4 linked regions of the Nothobranchius furzeri genome follow. The protein of the gene in region 2 interacts with the protein of the main gene of each other region in a pairwise test. Links are inferred from orthologs where the notes say so. Each region holds a gene or a part of one and is shown on either strand. Other genes may lie near its edges.

Evidence for each region.
Region 1: the proteins of c11h1orf35 (region 2) and dachd interact in binary tests that used the Homo sapiens proteins (3 or more experiments, as listed by UniProt). The two-hybrid records come from large-scale screens. The link is inferred for Nothobranchius furzeri from reciprocal best matches to the Homo sapiens genes C1orf35 and DACH1.
Region 3: the proteins of c11h1orf35 (region 2) and thap1 interact in binary tests that used the Homo sapiens proteins (3 or more experiments, as listed by UniProt). The two-hybrid records come from large-scale screens. The link is inferred for Nothobranchius furzeri from reciprocal best matches to the Homo sapiens genes C1orf35 and THAP1.
Region 4: the proteins of c11h1orf35 (region 2) and stac3 interact in binary tests that used the Homo sapiens proteins (3 or more experiments, as listed by UniProt). The two-hybrid records come from large-scale screens. The link is inferred for Nothobranchius furzeri from reciprocal best matches to the Homo sapiens genes C1orf35 and STAC3.

What each region holds. Positions count from the first base shown.
Region 1 is NC_091754.1:28,370,447-28,374,470, reverse strand, and holds the start of dachd (dachshund d), read right to left. Parts: upstream 2,804-4,024; 5' UTR 2,508-2,803; coding exon 1,951-2,507; intron 1-1,950. UniProt on the Homo sapiens protein: Transcription factor that is involved in regulation of organogenesis. Seems to be a regulator of SIX1, SIX6 and probably SIX5.
Region 2 is NC_091751.1:49,802,851-49,807,041, reverse strand, and holds the start of c11h1orf35 (multiple myeloma tumor-associated protein 2), read left to right. Parts: upstream 1-1,386; 5' UTR 1,387-1,451; coding exon 1,452-1,608; exon of another isoform or gene 1,609-1,627; intron 1,628-3,845; coding exon 3,846-3,996; intron 3,997-4,084; coding exon 4,085-4,130; intron 4,131-4,191.
Region 3 is NC_091746.1:71,097,265-71,101,508, forward strand, and holds the start of thap1 (THAP domain-containing protein 1), read right to left. Parts: upstream 2,804-4,244; 5' UTR 2,689-2,803; coding exon 2,618-2,688; intron 876-2,617; exon of another isoform or gene 743-875; coding exon of another isoform or gene 741-742; intron 112-740; coding exon 1-111. UniProt on the Homo sapiens protein: DNA-binding transcription regulator that regulates endothelial cell proliferation and G1/S cell-cycle progression.
Region 4 is NC_091755.1:32,734,714-32,738,911, reverse strand, and holds the start of stac3 (SH3 and cysteine-rich domain-containing protein 3), read right to left. Parts: upstream 2,804-4,198; 5' UTR 2,605-2,803; intron 1,917-2,604; 5' UTR 1,887-1,916; coding exon 1,879-1,886; intron 1,437-1,878; coding exon 1,358-1,436; intron 1,185-1,357; coding exon 1,028-1,184; intron 949-1,027; coding exon 851-948; intron 739-850; coding exon 678-738; intron 1-677. UniProt on the Homo sapiens protein: Required for normal excitation-contraction coupling in skeletal muscle and for normal muscle contraction in response to membrane depolarization. Required for normal Ca(2+) release from the sarcplasmic reticulum, which ultimately leads to muscle contraction.

The DNA.
Region 1 (4,024 bases), on a different chromosome or scaffold from region 2:
CCGAGCGGGGTAAACCGCTGAACTCAGATACTTTTATCCCACTGGTGGAAAAAGCACAACTTTAAAGAGAGGGACTTGTTTTCACCTCCAGGGCAACCTGTGTCCTGTTTACTCAAAGTGATCGTTTTGTCAGCAGCATTTCAGCAACAGACAAGAGCAAAGCGCTCATCCCTGCAAATAAAATCAACTCTTTCTAAGTAACAGAAGCCTTTTATCCTGCAGGATGCCTCGCTGCTCCATGATGTAATTCTCCAAATGGGGCAGGCAGGCAGGCCGAGGTCTGAGTGATTGATTTCAGCCCAGCACCGGGAGAACCTGGCTGCTTTCAGAGACAATTACAGTCCTGTCCATGTGCCCGTAATAGCCCAGCACTTTAGCGTCATTAAAGCGACGCGAGGTACTGCATTATCCTTTAACCCCATAGCTGGCCATCCCCCCATTGACAACCCGGAGAGTTCAGCCACATACTTTGTCACCTGGAGCTCAACACCGCCACGCCACACCATACTGTACCACTCACGGAGTGTGCAGGGATGTGTGTGTGTGTGTGTGTGTGTGTGTGTGTGTGTGTGTGTGTGTGTGTGTGTGTGTGTGTGTGTGTGTGTGTGTGTGTGTGTGTGTGTGTGTGTGTGTGTGTGTGGGGTGATGCTCAGCTCCCTTGATGCTTTATGTAAATGATGCTTAAGCACCAAAGTACAGAGGTGAATTGTTGAGACAATTGCTGCACTGGAATGAGAATTTGAAGCTGCATCATGTTTCTTGACGACGTGTGAGGCTGAATTCATTATAAATCAGCTATAAAACAAATGAACTAAAGGCTAAAACTGTAAAAAAAAAATATATTTAAATACAAACAACATGAAAATCTGAGATGTAATTAAATTAGTTTAGCATTTTCAGACCTAATTAATTAACACATTTATTAGGATAAATCTAATTAATTAAAATGAATCTTTTTGGCACAAAACATCTCCTGATGTGTGGTTCTGGGATTGATCTAACTCAGCATTTCTTATAAAATAGATCATTTTAAACGACACCCAAAATAACTTTAAGTGTTTATTTTCTGTCCTCCATCACTGATGAGTGTTTCCATCATATCTGCATTTCCTGCTCATCTCTGGGTAGGGGATCGATGGGAAATCAATCAAAGTGACAGGTGGGATGGTAAATTTGACCAGGCTGAACCATCCTGTGAGGCTGAGCCATGCATCAAAAATACAGGAGCAACAGGGGAGGATGAAAACGACTTTTAATCAAATATTGATCTTTGCTTAAATCACTCAGATTTTATTTTTAAAAGGCTGAAATTATTTGATTTGGTGCATTCGTATACACACATCTGAGTTATTGTATTTGTTTTGTAACAATTAGGGACGTTCAGTTAATTAATTAATGTAAAATTAAACTAAGTTTACTAATTAAATTAGCCTACTTTATTCAACTATGAATTATATCTGATTCAGGCCGCAAACACAAGAGGAAACAAAGTTATGAAAACTGCTCTTGCTCTTTGAGACTTTATTGTTTCTGGAAAATTAAATGGAACTGGCTCGAGTTTCATTTAAGAAAACAAAAATATAAAATTATGTTTTCGTGATTCAGCTCTCATATCTTTGTTTACCTGTTTTATTTATATTGTTTGATTCCGAATTCATGAAACTGAAGCAAAATGTCAATGTTCAGCTTTAGTGTGCACGTGCTAAAAACTTTCACCCAACTTTTTCCATGATGCGCGCTGGTCTCTTTCGCTCCAACACACACTCCAGCATCTGCATGAAACATCCTCTTACAAACACATGCATGCATGCACGTGGACAAATTAGGAACTGTGTATTTGGATGTAGAGTGTTTGTGCGAAAAGGGGAAAATGTCTCCCCCTTGCTTGCTCGTGCGCCTTTACGCACGGTTCGGTGGGGACCTTTAAACACGCCGGAGCGCTCCACTAACCTTGCGTTGGTGCAGTCGTTGTAGAGAGTCTCGAAGTCCTTTCTGGAGATGAGTTTGCAGCGGTTCACACCGGGCTGGATGGCGCCGAGCCCTCTGAGGATGCGGACCTGCTCCACGTTGCACACCACCGGCGTGATCTCCAGCCGCTTGAGCTTGGTGTAGACCGTGTGCAGTCCGCCGACCAGGTGCTTCAAGAACAGGTCGAACGCCTGCGGGAGGCAGATGAGCTCGCAGCCGTCCACCGTGAACGAGGCTACCTTCGCGCCGCGCAACTCGACCATCTTGCACTCGTTGTTCTGCGGGATGTTCTCAACAGGAGACGGGGTCGAGTAGACGGGTTTGCCCGGCGGCAGAGCCGCGCTCGGGTTCGGGATGCCCGGACTGCCGGTGGCGAGGAGCTCCGATCGGAACAGGTTCTGTCCGGGTCCCGACGGGGGGACCAAGGATGGAGACGGTGATGAAGTTGTCGACGGCGGGGACGTGGTGGCGGAGGGAGTAGAGATCGGAGGCGGCGGGACCAGAGGAGTCGGTGGGATGAGAGCAGCCGGTACGGCCATGGTCACCTAGAGGAGGGGAAGAGAGGAGCCGAAGTTCAAAGTGGAAAACCCAGCTTGCTGAATGAAGAATCCCTCAGAGTTTAGCTCCTCAGGAGCTAACCCGAAAAAAGGCGTGCTGAGTGAGAGCTTTCTGGGGGGGTTGGAGGGGGGGCGAGCGGCGGGACAATGATCAAAGATAGGAGGAGGAATGACAGGAGGAAAATGAGCTGAAAAGTGCAGCTCCGCTCTGTGAATGAGTTGTTGTTGTCACACGGTACAGAGAGGGAGGAGCTAGGGGACAGTGGAGGGCTTTGAAGAGCTCCAAACTGTTTCAGGTCTGCGTAAAGACACAGAACTCGCCGAGTTTACATCTGTTTCCTTCTGACTAACTCCTCCTGCAGGGCTGTGGGAAAGTACCAGCCCCCTTACTCTTTTCTTTTGTTTGTGCTCTTTCGTCACATAAACAAAGTCCTGGATCAAAGATAACCTGAGAAAATATGCCACCTTCCCAGATTTGATCTAAAACACCTTGGCTCTGTGGACACCTGAACTTTATTTTGCAATTTTGTGGTAACTAAAGAGTCTCTCATCACTGTGGAGGAGCTTTGTCCCATTCTTCTTTACAGAATTGTTTTCATTCAGCCACATTGGAGTGTTTTCCAGCAAAACAATCATCAATTACAGCAAAGCAGCTCCAGACCATCACACTGCCACCTCTGTGTTTGACTGTTGAAATTCACTTTACTCCAGATGTTACACAACAAAAAGTTACATTTCAGTTCACAACATATTTTCCCCAAAGTCTTGGTGAATCATCACAGTGTTTTTTGTTAATCAAGAGACAGATTTAAAGTATTTGCTTCTTTGGCCTGGGATATTTTATTTACAAGTGGGATAATTAGTTTGGATAATTTTATTTCCCTTAGTAAATGTGTGTATTGGTTAACAAGTGCATGTTGTGTTCATTTCCATCACTTTTATCTGATAGTATAAATTATTTGCTGATCTGATATTTTTAAGTGACTAAAAAAACTAATCTGTAAGGGTGTAAATACATTCTCACAGCACATTGTCTATGTAGAGTTTGCATTCATATGATTATAATTATTTTATTTCTAGTCTGTCACATTTTCTGACTCATCACTCCTAATGAAACTGACTTTTCCTGGTTGCTTTGTTCTTTTTCTGTATAAGTGAAGTAAAATAAAATCAACATCTTCAAATTACAAACTAAAGGTTTTCAATGCAAACCATACTGTTGATTGAGGCATCTTCTCACGTGGAACACTCTGAGATGATGTGGATGTGAGGTCCCTCATTAAATCTGGACTGCAGTGATTCATCATCAACTGACTATTTTTCATACAAAAATCCTCATTCCAGGAGTGCAGCACTTGCAGTCTGCTCCAATCTCTGTCCATTTAAAAATACATGATAAAAATTGTTTTATTGTGGAGTAATAACACTCGAACAGATGGATATGTGAAGATGTAAAGTTAATTAACTCACATTTGATGGACATGAGGCAGTGAATCCAC
Region 2 (4,191 bases):
CCTGTCCTGGGTCTCCCTTTAAGTCTCCTCCTTGTTGGATGTGTCTGGAAAACATCACCAGAGTTCAGGAGGCATCCTAACCAGATCTACTCTGATTCCCTCCCAGATGACTGAGCTTCTCACCCTATTTCTAAGGAAAATTCTGGACATCCTGTGGAGAAAACGTCATTTTGGCCACTTGTGTCTGCAACCTCTTTCCTTCGGTCAATACCCAAAGCTTGTGACCATACTATAGATGAGGGTCGGAATGTACATGGACCAGTCTTCCAGCTCATCTCTCTCTTTACACCACAACAGGCTGCATTACTAGTACAACACCCTTATATACCTAAACATCTCCACTTGAGGCAGGACCTAGTCCCTGACCTGGAGAAGGCATTCTACCCTTTTTTGACTCAAAACCATGGTCTCAGATTTGGAAGAGCTGATTATCATCCTGTCTGCACTCGGCTGCGTACTACTCAAGTAAACGTTGGAGATTATTAAAATATCTAAAATAAATTTAAATATGTACAAAAACATTAAAAACTTCCATTAAGACAAGTTAAATCCAAATTACATGAAGAGAAAAGAAGGGCAGCAACAGTTTTTTTACAAATGGCAGTTAAAATTAGGATTTCTAATGAGAACATGATATGATGAGACAAAATGAAAAAGTTTGCATCTTCTTTCATTTATTTAGCACAATTTTATGAAATGCATTTTTAGAAAATGCTTTATCTGTCTTTGCTACCTTCTTGTGCTATGTTTTTGCACCTTAAATGTGTCTTTATCAAAATGTACCATGTTTATCTACATCGATATGACGTAACCCTATTTGCGGTGCAAGTTGGCTTGGTATGTGGGACTACCTTCAATTATTATAATGACAATAAAGGAGTAATCAAAAAAATTAAATAGGCATTTATCATTTACAGTGTGGACTGAGTTTCAGAGATCCTTAACACATTTCTCTGTATAGAATTTCCTTTGAAGGGGCATTAAAATACAAATACTTAGCTAAGTATTTCAGATAATTGTAATGAATAGTTTGACTAATAAGAACAAAATTCCCCTAAAAGGAAAAAAAGCAGGCATTTCTAAAGAAAAGAGAAAAAAAAGTTTGGTTTGAATATATGCTACAGTTGCTTGCCATAAAACTCACCAAACAATTCCCCGGATGAGCGCACGCTGAAGGCCTGCCTAATCGCGCAGCTCCTGCGGCTAACGTTAGCTGCTAACGGTGCGAAACATTTCTCCCAAATCTTCGACTCAAACTGCAGAAATGTTTGGTTCTTCGAGATCCGGAGGCTTACGAGGAGGCCAGGATCAGTTTAACTGGGATGACGTGAAAGTCGATAAACACAGAGAAAATTATCTCGGTAAGTACGTGCGTCTAGCTGCGCTATCAGTGCTAGCCAGAGTGGGCGAGCAAGCAAGCAACTGAGCGAGATAGTTCAAATCGTGTTAAAATGCACACTTTGGCCCCACAGGCGTCTTCCCATACCTTTTGTATTGGAGTCCCTCATTACACAGATCTTGGATGGTTTTTATGGCGTCTTACTTTCTACTTTACACACAGCAGGACCCTACTTTCTTTTCCACCTCTGAACCCTGAACAGAAAGCAGGTAGGCTCTCCGCTCCCCCTGAGCGCTGCCAACTAGCTAGTCAGCATGCCAGACACGAGCTACGTAGCAGTCAGCGCAAATGTGACCCAAATGGGATCAAAAGTCACATTTCTGTTTGGAATGTTGTGTTTTGGGGTTCAGGTCCATCTTGACAGTTGTTGATGTTAACATTGTCTGATAAAGAACTCATGGATGCTAAGCTACAAATGTGGAGTTTCTCTAAGAGATGCTGCACACATTTTTCCTTATTAGATATGAACCTTTAAAAGATTTTCATGGTCATGCATGAAGACAAGACTACCAGACCAGATCTTAAGTGTTTCAAAGACTGCATAAATGTTTACAAGTGAAATGTTTAATATTTAACATTATGCCACTCCTAAGTTTATTCAGTAAATAATTCAATTCAGGTTATTAAATAGTGCCAAATCAAGAGAAGACTCGTCTCACAAAGTTAACATTCCAATACAGTTCAGTTCATTAAGCCAGTCAGTAAAAAGTTTCCAGCAGATTGCATCAAGTCACTGACTTGTGTCAGTGTCTTTGCAGCAATCTTCATACTAAGCAAGCATGTAGCGACAGTGGAGAGGAAAACTCCCTTTTAAGAGGAAGAAACATCCAGAGGATCCTGGTTCAGTATGAGCAGAAATGAAAGGTTACCCCTATTTCACACTGGAGGCATCAGCAGTGCGGAACGGTTTACTTTCGCTGCGTGCCAGTACACACTGGGAGAATCTCAGCCATGGACCGGCTTCTCTGCCTCGCTTAAAGTGACAGTGTGTATTTTTCCTGGTGATAGGGGGCAGTAGATACCTAAATTGTTGCAAGGAAGCTGTATTTTTGTGTTGGAGTAAGACTTTAATAATGGATGCCCATTAGGGTCAAAAAGCCCTGGGGAGTGCAAACTTCAGTAAAATGCAGCACATCAGGCTCCCTTTCATCAGTGGCAACAAGTGAAGAGGTAAATGTGTAAAACAACGTTTATGAATGGTGAAAGTTTTGCAACAGTTGTTACAAATCAGTAATGTATTTTGTCCTCAAGGGCTCCTGTAGAAGGAAACACAGCATCTAGTATGGCGTCACCGTGAGACTTTGATCCTCTTCCATGTATTTTAGACCAGATTTTTATGGTTATGTTAAGAAGCCGCCAATATTTTTCAACAACTGGGCCTCATTTAATTCATGTTCAACATTTTGATGGATATTTCCAGAGATTAATGATAAAAACTACACATTGTCTCTTTAACTTGCAAGATCACAAAATCCCTCAAGACTTCAAAGCAAGGCCCGACCGATATATCGCCCGGCCGATATTATCGTCCGATATTGGGGTCATTAACACTATAGGCTATCGGCCAAAAAGATGGCCGATATGGCCGATATTGTGCTACCGATCCAGCAGATGGCACCAGCTTTATGAACTCATGTTGTGTGGCTCCACTACTTTGAACACAAATGATTTATGCTGTGACTGAGTTTGTGTGTTCTGTTGTTTTTGAGATCTGCTTAATAAATCTTATTTGCATTACTTGGAAACCCTAGTGAGTTATTGAGACAGTTCTTTGGTGTGTAACAGAGAAATAAGTTTGTATCAAAAAGGCAGAGAATGAGGGACATTTATCAGCCATTATATCGGCTATCGGCCTTTGTTAAAAGTTTTATATCGGTATTGGCCCCAAAAAAAGCATATCGGTCGAGCCCTACTTCAAAGATCACGGTTTGTTTATACCATCTGCTATTAATCCAAAAAGAAGTAAATCATGTTTGATGTCATAGATGATGCTGTTTCTCTCCACTGCCAGGATTAAACCCATGAAAAACACACCGCTGCACTTCTGGAACGATGCTGGGAGTAAAAAAGCTGTTAGTTCACATTTGTTGACGTAATCTACATATATGGGAAATGACATTGCTGCAATAGTCTTTCATTTTGAAAATTACCCGGGCATTTTACACTGAAACCGTGTCTAGCCTGTCTAGCCCTATGTTAACTTCGTAAATGACGTGTCCCAGAATCGGTCCACGGCAAAAATAGAACCTGATCTTCAGCGGCACGGCTGGTTTGAATCACCCCCATAGACTTTAATGGATTCTATTTTGAAGCAGTGCTGTTCTGTGCCGCTTATTCTTCCAGTGTGAAGTAGGGGTTAGAGTTAGAAACGTTGGTATAATGCAAGCGAAACTGGATTGCAGATTTAGTCTTTTTTCCTTGTACGCACATTCTCCTTTTGTTCCAGGAAACTCTTTAAAGGCACCAGTAGGACGGTGGCAAAAGGGGAAAGATCTGACATGGTACGCTAAAGACAAAAAGACTGGGAAAGCTTTGTCCAAGGCAGATGAACTTGCTTCTGTGAAGGCAGCAGAACACGAGGCGATGATGGCTGCCTTGTACGTGGAACTCCTCTTCAAATACATGTTGGTATCTATGAAGTTCAGATCATAAAAATATTTATTTATGTTTTAAATTCTCATCTAGAGGACACAAGAGTATAAAGAGACAACCAACTGGCCTTACCAAAGAGGTATGTGACAAAATGGAGAACATCTTTAAACATTTTAACGTGATTAAAAATGAATTCATTT
Region 3 (4,244 bases), on a different chromosome or scaffold from region 2:
TCTTTGGTGAAATGCTGGGAGCAGATGTTGCTGTACTTGGTGGGTTTGAAGTTGTTCCTCCTCATGGCAGCGACCCATTTCCCACAAACATCTGGACGGGCCAAAGGAAACCTGGGAAAACACGTCAAATGGTACAACAGCTGGGGAAGTGAAGTCCTCACAGGAACGTCATTCAGATGAAGACAGGCAGTGTTGGGAACGTTACTTTAAAAAGCAATTAGTTATAGTTACTGATTACTTTGTCAAAAAAAGTAACTCAGTTACAAGATTATAAAAGTAACTAATTACCAAGAAAAATAACTACTTAGTTACTTTTTTCATTAAAGAATGCAAGAATTACTATAATAGTGAAATATAAATGACTAATGACTGGAACATAATAAAACCTGAATAATTTAAATAAATAAGCACTTAACAGGAGGAACTACTAATAGGAACATTACACTTATCTAGACTATTAAAAGGTCTCTGTGTGATATTTAACAAAAACCCAATCAGCTAACATTTAAAATTGCAAATAGAAACACCTGTAAAGGTTCCCGAGCCTTTAAATGGTCTCTCAGTCTAGTTAAATTACAGAAATAAATGTAATTTTCTACGGTATTTTAATTTTTCCAGCTTCACATAATTGTGTGTTTTTAGTAGCATTTCTGTTGCAGGTAATCTAGTAACGGTTAAATAAATAAATAAAATCCTTTAAAATGACACTAGAAGAGGCACAAGCCTGATGGAGGACTTACATTTACTAACTTGGGTCAGACCCAACCACAGAAGAGCTGAAGCTGGGTGGTAAACACACACAGGTAGTTCTGATAACACCTGAGCTCCATGACGTCTGAGACTGATGCATCAGTGTTACAGCGGGACTAAAGACATGATCAGAAACAGGTTACAGCTGGATGATCTAGGAAGGTAGAAGATCAGGACGTCTGAGAGGTGAACAGGTGAGCGGACCTTCGGGACGTCCCGCTGTCACGCTAAGAGCACGGCTGCAGACCCACAGATTCGCTACTGCAGCAGCGAATCATTCATCACGTCTTCCTCGTTCTTCACGGTCCGTGATGCTCTTGGATGAAAACATCTACCTCTTTAGCTCCTGATCAGCTGATGACAGCTTCAACACACCGCGCTGCTTAACGCACGCATTTCCTTATCAGTAACAGAAATGACGTTTTGATAAAAGAAGACGGTAATTAATTAGTTTGCTCGTTACAGGAACACTTTTTTTTTATTAACGCGGTTATTTTAAACGGCGTTATTCCCATCACTGCTCTGTTGTGTCTACAGAATGCAGCGACTGAGACCGTGAGGGTCTCCGCCCACCCGGCCAATCACCATCGTGTTTGTAAGTGCGTTACCGACACCTCTCTCTCCCTGGCTGCAGCTGAAGTGTGGCGGTCAGAAAGCCTCACGCTGCTGCTCAACGTTCGACAAGCACGTGGTAACGGTAACGGCGTTGCAGCAGTGGGAAAAGTAATCAATTAAATTATTCCGTTACCTAAAAAAGAACGCCGTTAGCAACGCCGTTATATTTAAACGTCGTTACTCCCAACACTGAAGACAGGTGAAACAGAACTACCTCATCACTTCTACTTCTAAACACAACTGGGCTCAGTAAAACCGACGGCTGCAGGTAGAAACACGAGAAGATCCGAAACGTCTTCAAGAACCGTCAGGAACCCAAACCATCAGAGGCTGAGAAAAGAAACCAGGTCCAGTGGACTAAAAAGGACCCATCCTGTGAGTCCAGTCTGCTCTAGATCAGGAGAGGATGACGGAGCTTTGGTCTGGTTCTGGTTCTGAGGACAAATCCAGACCGTCTCTACAGCCAGAGATGATTAGCATGGAGGTCATGACCTCCACCGGAAGGAGGACATGTTCTCACTCCATCAGAGCAAAGCACGGTGGTGGTGATGAAAATGAACAAACGTCAACTCAGACAAAGTGACTGATGAGTTCTGGAGGAACCAGAACCCGAGCCAGAACCAGCCTCTGTAGCTGATCTGTGAGAAAGCAGAATGATGAAGATTTTAGTGAAAAAATCCAAAATGATTCCAGCGATAAAATAAACGACTTTTAATAAAAACCTGAGTTTCTCCACGTGACCCGATGACGCCGCATTAATTACAGCAACTTTACTGAAGTACTGAATGTTTATCTAAACACCAGGAAGTGTGAAACACACCTGCGCCGACGCTCCTCCACACCTGGCCTGAGTTCTCTCCACACCTGGTTTTATGCTCCTCCTCACTTGGCTGCTGCTGCTCCACACCTGCTCTGATGCCCCTCCACATCTAGCCTGAGGCCTCGCCACACCTGGTTTTATGCTCCACCAGTCTGGACAACTGGAGGTGTTTCTGTGTTTGTAGAATAAACTGGTCCTAACCACTAGCTGCTCTGGTTTTGCTCCAACATGTCAGACTAATGGGACTACAACACCTGGACACCTGTTGAACAGGTGGTTCCTCTGTGAGGCCGCTGCTCGGACTTCTGCTTCATTCAGCACGAAAACATGAATGAATAGACTGCTGTGACTGAACGAGGCTGTTTCTGAGACCGGACCGAAGCTCGGGCGGGCTAACGAGAGTCGGCGCAGAAACACCGGAGCCGAACTTACTTGTGGAAGGAGACATCTTTGTCTTTGTGGTACCGGTTCTTACAGCCATAGGCTGAGCACGTCTGGACCATTGTTTCATCCCAGAAAACGAACCGAACCTCCGCCAAACCTCGTTGCCGTCAGTCCGATCAGGCTTCACTGCCAATAACAAACATGGCGGCGGAGACAGGGTCACCTGACCCGCGTTCTGCCCCCTGATTGGCCTCTCTTCCTGGTAACTGTCATTTTAGTGTGTGAAGCGAAACTTGTTAGAATTTTTTTTATTATAAATCGTTGCAGATAAAAAAAATAAAAATAAAATAAGTAAAGGATAAAATAAAATAGTCACAGAAGAGCAGTTGGACAAAAAACATCTTTTCTTTGAATGCTTTTAATAACTATCACTTGATTTCATACAAATATCCTTTTGTTGTCTTTTTACCGTGTCCTGTCCGGCTGTGAAGCAACCAGAACTGATGTCTGACTGCTGAAGACGAGCCTTGCAGCTTTATTCTCTCAGGTGGAGCTCACAGCTTCTGCCGTAGCCACTGCTGACACCAAAACTTTATTAGCAACACTTTCGGACACAGAGACAGCTGTGAGAGAAAGGGGGAGAGTGAAGGAAGAGGTGAGGGAGGATGAATTATATAAATAATAAATGATGAAGAAGAATCAGCTTCTGGAGAGAGAGAGAGAGAGAGAGAGAGAGAGAGAGAGAGAGAGAGAGAGAGAGAGAGAGAGAGAGAGCGTGAAAAGGAGACACACAAAAATACAACAAGACAAAACATCGCTGCTCCAACAGCATGAGGATATATAACAGTAACTGCTTATGCTGGGAAGCATACCATAATAATTCATAGTGCATTTAGATATGCAGGCAGACCGAGGCACCGCCCACCGGTAGAACAAGTGGCAGGAGGGTACGCGAAGATGTCGTAACACCTCAAGATGTCTCAGCAGAGGAGAGGAGTCCAAGACCCCACCTGACGTACATGCATCCCTCATGCTTACACACACACACACACACACACACACACACACACACACCCTATTCACTCTGGTCCTGGTACTAGTGATGGGAATGGCTCAGCTCACCAAAAAGAGCCGGCTCTTTCGGCTCCCAAGTGGCTCCTCAGATTTTCTTTTGCGCAGAATACATTTATAACCAAAATAATGCAAAACTATTTGTAAAATGATTTACTAATGTAAAAAAATGCTGTGTATCAAATATTTATCATTTCTATGGATTTAATAACTGAACACTTTAAGAAATCTCCACTTTCCGACTGCTGGCGCTAATTTTCTCACCGTCTTCGTCGCACTCTCCTCTCTCTGCCTTTTTCCTCCTCCTCATTCCCGCTCGCCTCCCTCCGCCCGCATGTGCTCTGCTGTGTGTCTGAGTCTGATCCTCCCTCTTCTCCGCCCCTACTGCTCTGTGTGTGGACAGTCTGGACACGCAGTTACACATGTTGACCAATCACCTGCAGCTTTCACCAAGGCAGGGGGGGAGGGGGAGGGCTCCCATCGTTCACTTCAAAGAGTCGGCTCTTAGAGCCGGTTCGTTCGCGACCGACACATCACTACCAGGTACTACTGCGCAGAGGACACAACCATCCCTGGACACCAGAGCTAGCCCCGTTCTAATTAA
Region 4 (4,198 bases), on a different chromosome or scaffold from region 2:
TCCTGTTGCTCCCAGTCTACGATTAAACATCTTTTAATTTTTTCATCCGTTGCCTGCTCATCTGCCTCCTGAAACCCACCACCCGCAGAACATGACAAGTGTGGGGTTGTTGTGTCTCCTGCGAGCTAATACTGCAGCGCCGATAGTTGTAATTTGACTACGGCCGGCAAAAAGCTCCAGAGTTGTTTAAAGTGATTGCAGCAACCAGATTTTACCACAGATTGTCATATTTACTTCATTTCTACATAATGCACCTTAAATGCCAACATTAGCTGTTAGTAACGGACATCCCTAAAATATAATTACACCTTTGTAAGGAAGATTTTTCAACATTGGGCACTTCTAACCATTATAAATTGTAGATTGCTCTCAATGATTGATTGATTGACTGATTGACATGATTAAAAATTCACTGCATGACCATCTCTCTCCAAGATACAACAATAGCAACTAGATGGAAGAAAGTATCAGCCAAGTTTTACTTATTGGACCGATACACAGATAAAAAACAAACATCAGCCGATATGATGTTGATGTCGATATTTCCGACCTCCCTACTAATTTTACACATCTGCTTAAAAGAATTCACCGTAAAATTTAATTATTTTACTCTGATTTAGCAGTAATAAATAAAGGATTACTAATTCTAGGAGTGATTGAAGGTTTGATGGACTCACTTGGATCTGGGATGTCGCTGCTGTACAGAGGAGAACTATAGGCTCTTCTAAAGCCAGGTGGCTACAAGACAAAGAAAAAAAAAGAAAAAATTTCAACTAAAACCTTCCATTTAGTCCTGTAGTGCTTTTTTAGACATTTAAATTCAAATGTGTGTGAGAGAGAGAAAACTCACGATTTTTCCAAAGCACTTCTGGAACTCGACATAGGACTGACACGAATGGTGGATGTTGGTCTTGCAGTTTTTACACCTCAGACAAAATTTGTTGTTCACTAAGAGATGTGCAAAGTTAACCGAATCATCATAAATCTCAAAATATGTCTCGTGATATTTTCTGGGTTAAACACGTACAGACTATCATGCGAGCGCAGACGTCACAGAACTTGGGTTTCTTGCAGTAATGGTCCTTAAACTTGTGAGGTTTGTCATTGATCCGAACAATGGGCTCGGAAGGAGGTTCTGGTTCCTTCTCCTCTACCTCCACCTCCTCCTCATAAATAAAATAGACCTGCAAGCAAAGACGAAGAAGAGAACAGTTCCATACAGGTGATCAGGACTTATTTATTAACTCATGAGATATAAACAAACACCATATTGCAGTCCCGTCCCAGCTGGAGGCTATTTTAATCAGCCTGAGAACGGCTGCTAATAGCGAGTGGTTGACGTGGTGCTGCCACTCACCGTGTCTCCTTCCTCCCTCACTACATTGTCAGGGGCTGGAGGATTGTCGTGGATGTCCACGGAGTTTTTGTCATCCTCTCTAAGAAGCACAAAGAGAAAGATGAAGACCAACTGAAGCCACCTGCCATGACTGTGGTGTAAAAACGTATCGCAGAGGGAACATCTGGATCATGTGAGGAGATTTATCAGCAAACGTTAATGTGAAAACTGCTCAAAGTTTGAAGGACATTTTTTTTTACATCGCACCTTTTCCCATCATGCACAAACATCAACCAGCTGGTGATAGGGCTCCAGGATCCAGACCAGTTACATATAAATCCAAACACACACCTTTTTGATGAGTGAACTCTTAAACCAGGAACATTGAGGAGAACCATGATGTGCTTCAACAAGATTCCCCGTTCATCACCTCAAACAAACCTGATTTTAGTCGCACTGGTAAATTTAGAGCTCAGATTTTATTTAGTGAAACCCACAGAGATGTTAGAAACATGCAGCACATGGACATGAACTGTACTCACTGATCCATGGAGTGCTGGAAATATCAGTATACTGCACCCTTAAAAGAAATCATGTACATTTTACTGTCTGTCTTTTCTCAAGATGCACTTGCAGTTTGTCAGTAGCTCGTTTTTCCTAAATGCAAAACAAGGCCACATCTTTTGGATTGCATGTTTCTTTTCTGATTTGCCTACATTTTGAAGGACTTGTTTGTTTTTAAGCACCAAACACGTTCCTGGATGACAAGGGAAATTGTTGCTATAGTTGAAATTCACTATTTCAGACAAGGATCTGGTCAAATTATTAACTATAAAGCAAGCAGAGACATAAAACATGTCTTTAGTCTCTCTCTGTGTGACATTCGGAGCTAATACCTTGTAGCAAACAGTGGTAAAGAGCATTTGTCATCCTGACCTGCTCTATTCTTGGTTTTTGAAATTTGATCTGAAAACTAAATTTAGGAACTGCTGCATGTCAGGAAAATATTCCAGACAGCATAAAAGAATTTCAGGAAAAATGAGTAAATAACGGGCTAAATGGATGTAGCATTCACACAACGTTCCTACAAAACGATTCCATTAGGCATTTTTGCTACTTGAGACATAATTAAAAATTACACATAAACTTCACCATCACTTACCAAGTTATTAGAGGTTACACAGAAAAGGTAAATAAAAAAATGCTTCCCTTCACCTGCTAGATTTTTCTGAAGTGTTATGTGGCCATTGAAGCAGAGTTTGACTTACCAACTGACCAAAATGCTCCCTCACTTTTCAGCACTTCTGGATCCAGTACTGTATGGTCCCTCTGTGTTTCCTTCAGGTTATTCCCACACTGGGCGTGAATGCTGAGTGCGACCCAGATATTTATTAAAGCTGTAAGTTTGTGTATCTATGGGTGTAATTGTGAGCATGACAGGCTGAGCACTGCTTTGTGACGTTGACAGTTTGCAACAGCTGAAGGACCTCAAACTAAGCACCAGTGACGATGAGAAATCAGATATGTTCTCTACACACACACACACACACACACACACACACACACACACACACACACACACACACACACACACACACACACATACACACACACACACACACACACACACACACACACACACGCACGCACGCACGCACGCACGCACACACACACAAAGGTATCTGTCCTGCTCATGGGCCTGTATCCCTCCATTCTTTTGGGAGACCAAGGAGAAACAACAAAAATGACTACATCTCTTTCAAAGTTGTAAAAACTATTTTATTTATATATATGTTCAAGTTGTTCTGAATGCTAGTAGATGCTGCAAAAGCTGGATAAATACATAAAAGAAACATTGATTTTTAAACAATAACTGCCATGTAACTCAACCACTCTAGCAAGCATCTTTATTCGTTGTTTTATTTCATTTGTAACAAATAATCCTATAAAGTTTTTCCTCTGTTTATATACAAAATATTTTTGAGCTGTCAGCCCAGTATTAACTCCAACTCAGAATACTTTTTTACAAAGGTGTATTTTGTTGATGTAGAGGTTAAAACGTTGTACACAAATATAATACATTTATTTGTTTGTGTATTTATTAGTTGTTTACGGAATATTATTCTGTTATGTCCTGTCCACCAAACAGCGCCCCCTGTGGATTGACGTCTGACTGGAACACTACAAATGTCTCGTTGCATGTTGGGTACAATATTCCTTACGTGCTCAGTGCGCCTGCGCAAAACAAAACTCCATTATTTTTTTCTCGGAATTTGTAAGAAAAAAACAGAGGGTAACTGTGAATTGGGGATTACACGGGTCGTTATGTTTGTCGGAATACCATTGAATGCTATGCGGATTAGCAGAAGAAAGACCAAAGCGACGGCTGGATAGGTGTGGAGCGGGAACGGGACATCCCTCTGTCTTTGTGGGACACTCTAGAACAAGTAAATATCACTGAGTTAGCCCCTCCAGTTAGCCTAGCTGGGAACGCTAGCCTCCAGAAGAACCCAGGCGTAGTAAAATGAAGCGTTATTGCCCCCTTTGTTTTTAAGTCCGACTGGAAGACGTTGACTAACATTTGAGTGCTGACTCGCCGTGCCAGTTCGTGATTTGGATTATGTAATGATTCGTTTTAGTTATTAGAGTGTTGATCGTTTTCTACGTATTTTATTTAGTATTAATTTAGTAGTCCTAACTAGCTAACTCTTGATTTTCCAGCGAACGAAAAAGAGCGAAGACTTCTAAACTTGGTGGTCAACACATAGCTTGACGCAGAGAAAGATTGTTCACAACATGTTGACGTTAGCTAACAAATATTTGTTAATAAGTGAAATGTGTGGATAAGTTTCATGAAGGTTT